2 linked regions of the Sus scrofa genome follow. The protein of the gene in region 2 interacts with the protein of the main gene of each other region in a pairwise test. Links are inferred from orthologs where the notes say so. Each region holds a gene or a part of one and is shown on either strand. Other genes may lie near its edges.

Region 1 (4,205 bases), on a different chromosome or scaffold from region 2:
AAGTAAATCACCCAGAATAGAAAAAATGCGATGCACTTCAGAAACCAATATTCTTCTCAAGTCAAATTGTTTATAATAAAGCTAACAATTATAGGAAGCAGCTTATTCCACACTAAGGAATAGCCCTTTTTCCTGCATGTTTGTACGGGTCTGATAAAAAAAAAAAAAAATCAAACTTCCTAGGCATTATGCTGTCCCTTTTTAAAACATCCTTGCTACCATACAGAAGCAATCTTTACCCTTAAGAGCTGAAAAGACTAAATGATAGACTAAGGCAAGAGATGGATTAAGCCCCACTAAAAGGGGAAAAAATGTGGTGTCCAACATTTAAAACTCAAATGGTTACTATTTCCAACCAGAGAGAAATGGAACAAACCTTCATTAGAAATAACAATATAATTGGAATTATAGATTTAGAAGATTAGAAATCAAGCCAAAGGTTAGAAACTTTTTAACACAGAACTCCAAATTATCATTTAGAGATTTTAGACGAACTTGGAAGTACAAACGAGAAGGCTTTTAGAAGTAATCAGACAAACTCAAATTATTTACTTCAAATAGTACAAATGAAGTGAAAATATTTCTAAACTTTTTTTATAATCTCCTATGCTGTTTGATTAAATTCAACATATTAATTTAAAGAATGCAATTTAACTCTAACGTAGTCAATTTTCATTTACTATAAAGGATTCCTTCTACACAACTGGGCTTAAGGAAAAAAAAAAATCTTAAAAATTTTTACTACTAGTAAAACTTAACCTTCATCAAAATATGCCCAGAAAAAAATAGCGTATTACTTCAGCAATGTGATAAAATTTTTCCAACAGTTTTAAAGAAAGTGTTTTCAATGTTTTCAAATACATATATGGACACAAAATGACAAAGGAAATGATCTATGATTTAAGTTGCAATATAGGTCAGGTTATTAAGTTATGGTCCACATTTTGCTCCAAACATTTCTCATGTTTAAAAAAAAAATAACTGGCGCCCCTTAGCGCCCACATTTGGAAATACTCAATTTAAGAGTTCCAGCTTTTTTTTTTTTTTTTTTTTTTTTTTTTGACATTCCAGAAAGTTTTCTGCCTCCACAATCTTTCAAATGCCAACACAAATAGGAAAAGCAGAATCCCTTAAAGGGGCAGCTCAAGTTTTCTCCGGAACAATTTGATATTAACAAATTTGCTGTTTCAACTAGGAAAAAGCTCATTTCAAGATGGGCCACAGCTGTATACTTAACACACGTAAGCAAAAAAATGTGTTCGCAGTACGAGTTTGGTTCGTACAAAAAAGTACAAAATCTAACAGTTCTGTACTTTTAAGTTGTTTCTGTGACTTTCAAAACAAGAAAAGCTCCAGGGATTCTTCTTTAACCACCTTTTATCACGGAGACATTTCCGGTCTTTTGTTCTTTCGCGACATCCCAACTCTCTAATGTTCAGATTCCTTTTTCTCCAGCTCTATATGGTTAAAATTCCTCAAAATTCTTGTGAAAAATCTGGAATCCATTGTTCATTGTATAAAATATACTTTTCCGTTTTCGTTTAACAGTCCTCCGGGGATGCTTCTACACAGAAAAGAGAAACTCCTTGCTACTCGACTTTCAAAACAGACATTTTTGTTGGTCATATTTTTCCCTCGGCGTCCACAGACGTGCACAGCGACCAGAAATTAACACTCCGGGTCACTGCTACAAGACCTTGTTAAAGTAATTCCAGAGTGGGTCAAAATTAATCTTCTCGACATTCGTCGCTCCTCACAGCTCTCCACCAACACAGCGTTTTGGCAAACTTTTACTCGTTTTTATCGTCGCCCTTTCAAACGTCTTGATTTCCTGTCTTGCAAACTAAGGCAACGGCGTCCTCGGGAGAAGCTCTCCGCCGAAGTTCTTTGAAACTCGGGATTACGTTTACACTTGTCCTCGCGGTATTTCGCGTTCACACCCCCCCCCGAAGTGAAGTTAAACTCCCCAACAGTTCTCGCTTCCCCAAACAAAAGGACAAAAAGTGCTTTCCGCTGTCATTCGGTCCTCGCCCCGGGCTGAAGCGGCGTTACTCTCGGTCGGCTGTGGAACCCCTCTCAATTAGCGAGCCCACGCTACTCCCCTCGAGTACTCACAAGCCACGCAAACTTCGAAAAACCCAAAGCCCCACGGCATCTCCCAGTGGGGGAAGCGCCGGCGACCCGCGGGAAGGCCCCTCGGGAGCGGCCCCGAGCCGGTGTCCTTCAGGCGCCCGCGGGGCGCGGGGCGGGCAGGCCGGGCCGCTCCCCCGGAGGCCCGCGAGGCTGCGGGCCGTCGCGGTGCTCGCAGGCGCGGCCGGGAGCCGGGGCGCAGCAGGGCCGGCCTGCAGGCTCCCCCAGCGCTCCGACGCCGGCGCCCAGGCCGGCCCGGGCGGGGCGCGGGGGCCGGGACCCGGGGCCCAGGGGCCGGGGGGGGGGGGCGTCCCGCCCGCAGGTCCCGCCCGCGCCCCGGCCCCGGCGCGCCCCGCGAGCCCGGCCTCGGCGCCGCCTCCGTGCGCCCCGCCCGGGCCTCTCCGTCCCCGGGCGCACGGTCCCCGCCGGCCGCGACCTTCCCGCCCTCCCCACTCCGGCGGGCGTCGGGTCCCGGGAAGAGGGGCCGCCGCCCGGGCGCGGGCCCGAGGGGCCGGCGAGGCGACTCACCTTCGTCCAGCAGCCGCTCGAGGTGGTTGAAGATCCCGCAGAAGTTGGGCAGGCTGCTCATGAGCTTCTTGTCGTTCATCAGCTGCATCAGGTAATCTGGGGTGGGCTTCGGCTTCTCCTTCGTTTCCATTTCCCCGACCATATTCCAGGCTCCGCAGCTCACTCCGCCCGCCGCCGCCGCCGGAGAGGAGGGAGGGGCGGGGAGCCCCGGCCGCCGGCCGCTCGGGACTCGGCGTCCCGCTCCGCTCCGCTCCCGCGCCGGGCGCCGGGGCGGCCGGACCGCGCGCTCGCCGCGCTCTCCCCGCCCCCGCAGGCACTTTCCGCCCGCGGCCCGACGCGCTCCCGGCCCGCCGCCGCTCCTCGGCCGCCGGCTCGGCGCGTCCCTCACGAGGCCGGCGGGCGGGAGGCGGGTCTCCGCGGGCCGAGTGCGGGCGCGGGCCGCTCGGCGCCGGACGAGGAGGAGCCGGGCCGCCGCCGCTCGCTCGGCTGGTCGCGCCCGCTCAGCCGCCGCCGCCGCCTCTGCCGCGGGCTCGGGGTCTCTCTGGGCTGGTCCCCGCCGCGGCCGCCTCTGCCGCTGCCGCCGCGCTCTGACTCCGCTCCTCCTCTTCCTCCTCCTCCTCGCCTCCTCCTCCTCCTCACTCACTTGGCGGCGGAGTTCGCCTCAGTTCAGGCGGCGCTGCCAGCGGCGGCGGCGGCGGCGGCGCGGGGGGAGGGGCGGCGGCGCGGGGAGGGCCGGGGGCGGGCGGCGGGCGGGGCCGCGCAGGGCGGCCGTTAGCGGGGCCCGGCCGGCGCGCTCCTCCTCCCGCCGCCGCCGCCCCCCGCAGCCCCCGGCCCAGGCGCCGCCGCCGCCGAGCCGTCGCCCTCCGGCGGGGTGGGCGGCCTGAAGGGCCGGCGGCGGGCAGCGTGACGGAGGCGGCGCGGGGCGAGCCGGCCTGGGCGCCGGGGTGGGCGCCCCGGGCGAGCAGGAGCGGAGGGAGGGGCCGCTGCGGGGCCGACGGACGGGGGAGGGCGCCGGGTGGCTGTGCTTTCGACTGGGGCGGGGGCGCGGGCCGCGTCGCCTCGCGCTCCCCGCTGCCGGCCGGCTCGTCTGGCGGGCGCGGTCGGGCTGTGGCGTTTGGTGAGAGGGATTTCCAGCGGGACGGGCTACGGCGCGCCAGGGCTGCGCTCGCCGCCGCACGGCCCCATCCTCTCCCCCGTTATTATGGTTCTTTAAAAGCCTCCCAACCACCCTCCCCGCCACCCCGAAAAAAAATTTTTTTTAACGTCCTGTTGCTTCACGGGGGACTTTCGGGGTGGGCGTCACGTGGCCCGACACGTAGCCGTAAGGTCCGAGAGCGCGTGCGTGCGTCGAGGCCGGCGGCCACGCCCCTTCCGAGGGTCGCCCCGCCCCCGCTGGGGCCCCGCGAGCGAAGGGGGAGGTGCGGGGCCTGCCGCGCGCCTGCGTGGGGCGGGCGGGGGAGGGGGCGCGCCGGCGGGAAGGGGGAGAGCGAGGATGGGGCCGATCCCCGAGTGTTGGTGCGGAGAGCCCTGTGCGCAGCGGCCGGGCC
Region 2 (4,048 bases):
TACTAGGGATTATAACATAATAAATATAGCATAACTAAGAAATGTAATAAAACCTTCAGGATTTTATTTCTTAGAATACTAAAAAAAAATGAGAGCATCTTTATGTTTGAGAAGAACATCATAAACTCATCAAACATTCCCATAGGTTACTTTGTTTGAATATTTAATAACAGAAAATAGGGAGATTATGATGCTTATATTCAGAGGTTAAAGACTTTTCCAAGATCACTTATAAAGGGGAGAATTAGGACTTTGACCAGGACTTTTGGACTGAATCATACCTTTGATGCTTTTTTTCATTACGACTTTTTACTAAGAGAACTTAGAAGAAACTCTTATATTCAGTGAACATTCTCCCAAACCTTCTGCATCTAATAAGCACTCTAGAGTAACGGTCAGTAGTTACAGTAATGGCACAAATGTCATGGTATATATGTCAGTGTCTGTAAGAAAGGGTTTATGTTTTTCAGTAGCAGCTGAGATGCAGAAGGCTGGGGAACACAAAGGGCACATTCTGAGTTAACTACAGTTTTTAATAAAGCTGGAAGCCTTGAGCAGTCCAATTTGTATCCACCTTAAGTTTCTTAAGCAATCACCTTTTTCAGATCCCCCTGATTTTTTTTTACAGTAGAAAAAATAAGCTCTTAAATTACCTCCCTTCTTTTTCAGTCCTTTGCAGCCATTAGACTGGTTTAGGACAAGCAGGTTCTTGCATATTTCCATTCCTTGAAAACCTTCCAGTCACGGAGCAGCTTTTCTCATCTTTTATTAAATCCACTGCATCTGTAGACTGTACATCAGTGGAAATGTTTTTTTAAAAATAATTTCTCTTTCATTTATTTATTATCAGATATTCTTAGATGGAATATTTTAAATCTGTATTAACTGTGGTAAGCTGCCGTGAATACTTCCTGTGTATATAATTAATGCCACCATCGCAGATACTCACTCCTTAAAATATGCCTGCACATGGCGCCTGCCCTTCCCTCTCTCCCCCTCCTTCCCTCCTCCTCCCTCTCTCCTCCCTCTCTCTCTCTCTCTCTCTCTCACTCACACACACACACACACACACACACACACACCACGCACGCACGCGCAAAGCACACACCAAACTGCCATTCTCCAGCAGGCCTGTTTCTGGAGTTGGGAGATGTCAGCCTGCGGGGAGGGGGCGGGGGGAGGAGGAAGAGGTGGGGCTCTACTCTGATTAATTACCTTCGGCATTCAGGGGTGGGGCTTCCTTCAGCCATCTGCCTGAGATATGGGAGGGAGCTGGAGAAAGGAGGAGGGGGAGAGACTGCCAGAGAGGAAGAGAAAAGAAAGGAAGAAACACTAGAAAGAAAAAGGAAGGAAAACGGGATAGAGGGAGAGCAACCGCCCACCCTTAAAGAGCTAGGCTGGGGGGGGAGGGGGGAGGAAGGAGAGCCGTGGAAGGTGTGCCCCAGCACGACTGCTCTGAAGTGTTCATCTTCTGTGCCATTCGGTTTATGGAGAAGAAGAAAATGGTAACTCAGGTAAGATTTGTGTTTCCTCCTGTGTTTCTTTTCTTGTTTCTGAGATCTAAATAAAGATATGGGGGTGGGGCATAGTCACCAGAGTTTTAATTTATTAACCTTTTAGAAAGGGACAGAATTATTGCTAGCAGCTGAAAAGTGTTCGTCTGTGCCTGTCGTGAGTCGTGTGTGTGTGTGTGTTGTGTCCGTATCCTTTTTTCTCCCCCCCTCCCCAGCTCCGTAGCAGATTCCTGTTTCCTGTGCTGTGCAGCTGGAGCTCAGTTAAGACCCTGTGGGGATTGGTCTACCTCTTTGTCTTGGTTCTGAGGAGAGGGAGGGAGGGAGGGACCACAGAGGTAGGGAGAGATTCTTGTAGACTGCCAAAAAGAGGGCAAGGGAGCTCACTTCCTTTTAAGAATTGCAGAAGAATTTGCGTTAGAGGGAAATCTCATTCCGGATTCACTTCGGGTTCTCGGGATTGGCTGTGGAATTGTAGTTCTGCTCCCTTTGCTTTAAATGGCTTATTAAAAATGAAGGCTGGAAAAATGTTTCATTTTCGTGTCTTTGTTACTGGCAGAGGATGTTTTCAGTGAGAGCCGTAGCATCCAGGTGCAGCAGAGCCCTCCCTGGCAGAAGAACAAGTCTGAATGTATAAATGACAGTCCACGGGCATTAAAAGACATCTGAAGGAGAGGGAGTAGGAAATGAAAGCGCGCTCTCTCTCTGTCTGTCTCTGCCTGTCTTTGGCTATGCCAGGCAATAGCTGCATTTTAGCAAGTCATTCCTGACAGATGGAAAGGTGAATATTCTTCCCTGATTTCCCCCGGCAGTGCTCTTTTTCTTCTTGGCAACCTTCTGTATGTCCCTTTATGCTTTTTTCTTTATATGTGGGTTGAGAGACTGATTTATCAATGAGGATTATTTGCATTGTGGCACATTCATGTCATTTAAGCTCAGACTTAGGATCAGTTTCACTCCAGGCTTTTATGCTCTGTAGGGAAATTTCATCACTGGACAGTGGTTTTCCTTTTAAGGAGGTTGCCTTTTTTTTTTTTTTTTTTTTTTTTTTTTTTTTTTTAATATTCTCTTGTCTCGTTTCTTAAGTCACCACCGGAGGGCGAGAGAGTCAGCTGGCTATCTGGGTAGAGCATCATTTTAGGAGCTGGAACCCTGTCCAGTTAAATGTTATATAATGCCCCGCAGTGCTGTTTGGAAGGAGGTAAGGCGTTAGGGAGATTTTCCCAATGTGACCTAGAGGAAAGGGAAGTTTCAAAGAATAATATCTTTCCAAAGTCAGTTTTTTTTGTTTTAGCAGTTGCTCTTCCACTTTCTTATCCCTTCATCGTTAGCCTGATTAACTCGTTAATCAAAACATTGCTCTGCCTTTTAAAAAAGAGAAAACGTGTTTCTGGCTTGTCTTTGTTGCTTGGGAGACAATACTTCTTAACCCGGGAGCCCACATCCAGCTTTCCTTAACTGCCATATTAGAGGGTACAAGCGCTCTTTCTCAGCTACTACCAAAGCCTTTTCAACTACTTAACTTTCCATTATAGATGTTTTTAAATCAGTGAAAGAGTTATCTAAGCTAGGACTTTTTAGAATCAGAGGCTTTCCATGGCCTGTTGGAGCATTTCCCCTGAGTTCTAGAAGAGCAAGTGTGTACAAGCCCAAGTTAGGGTGCACAAGCATTTGCACACCTAGTATTGTGCGCTTAATAATCAGTATTGAAGGAAACTATAATTTTAGGAACGAAGCAGAAGAGATAAGTAGGAACTGGGAAGAGGGATTTCTTTTTTTTTTTTTTGGTGGTTAAGAATTCTAGTAGATTAAAATCATGATTTTCTCAGTGCGTGTGAAGGCTGAAGAAGTAACTCATTTTTGCCTATGCTGAATTTATACAAAGTATAGAACATCAATTTGTGAATTTTCACTATGCCAGCATGTTTGTTTTTTGTATACACTTTCTATGTTAATGTAACATACATAGTTGATAGTAATCTAGAGGGGGAAAAATCAAAGGAAATAACCCATAGGCCAGATTTTTATTTGTCCAGGTGATAGGCACGTGGGTTCAAGTCCCAGTCTGAGTTCTGGCTGGGTTCAAGTCATAGTGTTGTCAGTTTTGCTATGGATTTTTTTCTGAGGAGGGGTTATCCTATTTGTTGTTGAAAGGGAAAGTGTACTAGGCCTAAAGGGGTTTCTTTGGTTTTTGTTTTTCTGAGCCAGACCTCAAATCCCACGATTTGGTAATGATATGTCACATAAGCTTTCTGAATAGAAATTATCTGCAGTGTTTAGGGTTCAGTTATCAAAATTAAACAGTCTATTGGGGTCTTTAGTGTCTTAACTAGTATATTAGGAAAAGTATTTAGCTATCTTTTCACTCTTTTGTCACCGGGTTCCTTTCTTTAACACCTCTCTCTGTCCTGTACTATCCATCGCTTACTCGGTGCCAGAAGGTGAAGGACCTTCAGCAGATGACGTTCTTGTCACACAGTTAGGTGCACACTGTGCAGGCTTTACTATGTAGGCTCTGGTTTTATGAGGCTGGGTTT

The links.
Region 1: the proteins of RBFOX2 (region 2) and QKI interact in binary tests that used the Homo sapiens proteins (3 or more experiments, as listed by UniProt). The link is inferred for Sus scrofa from reciprocal best matches to the Homo sapiens genes RBFOX2 and QKI.

Annotation. Positions count from the first base shown.
Region 1 is NC_010443.5:4,880,442-4,884,646, forward strand, and holds the start of QKI (protein quaking), read right to left. Parts: upstream 2,801-4,205; coding exon 2,659-2,800; intron 2,179-2,658; exon of another isoform or gene 1,375-2,178; intron 1-1,374. UniProt on the Homo sapiens protein: RNA reader protein, which recognizes and binds specific RNAs, thereby regulating RNA metabolic processes, such as pre-mRNA splicing, circular RNA (circRNA) formation, mRNA export, mRNA stability and/or translation.
Region 2 is NC_010447.5:11,807,902-11,811,949, forward strand, and holds the start of RBFOX2 (RNA binding protein, fox-1 homolog (C. elegans) 2), read left to right. Parts: upstream 1-1,248; 5' UTR 1,249-1,487; coding exon 1,488-1,514; intron 1,515-4,048. UniProt on the Homo sapiens protein: RNA-binding protein that regulates alternative splicing events by binding to 5'-UGCAUGU-3' elements. Prevents binding of U2AF2 to the 3'-splice site.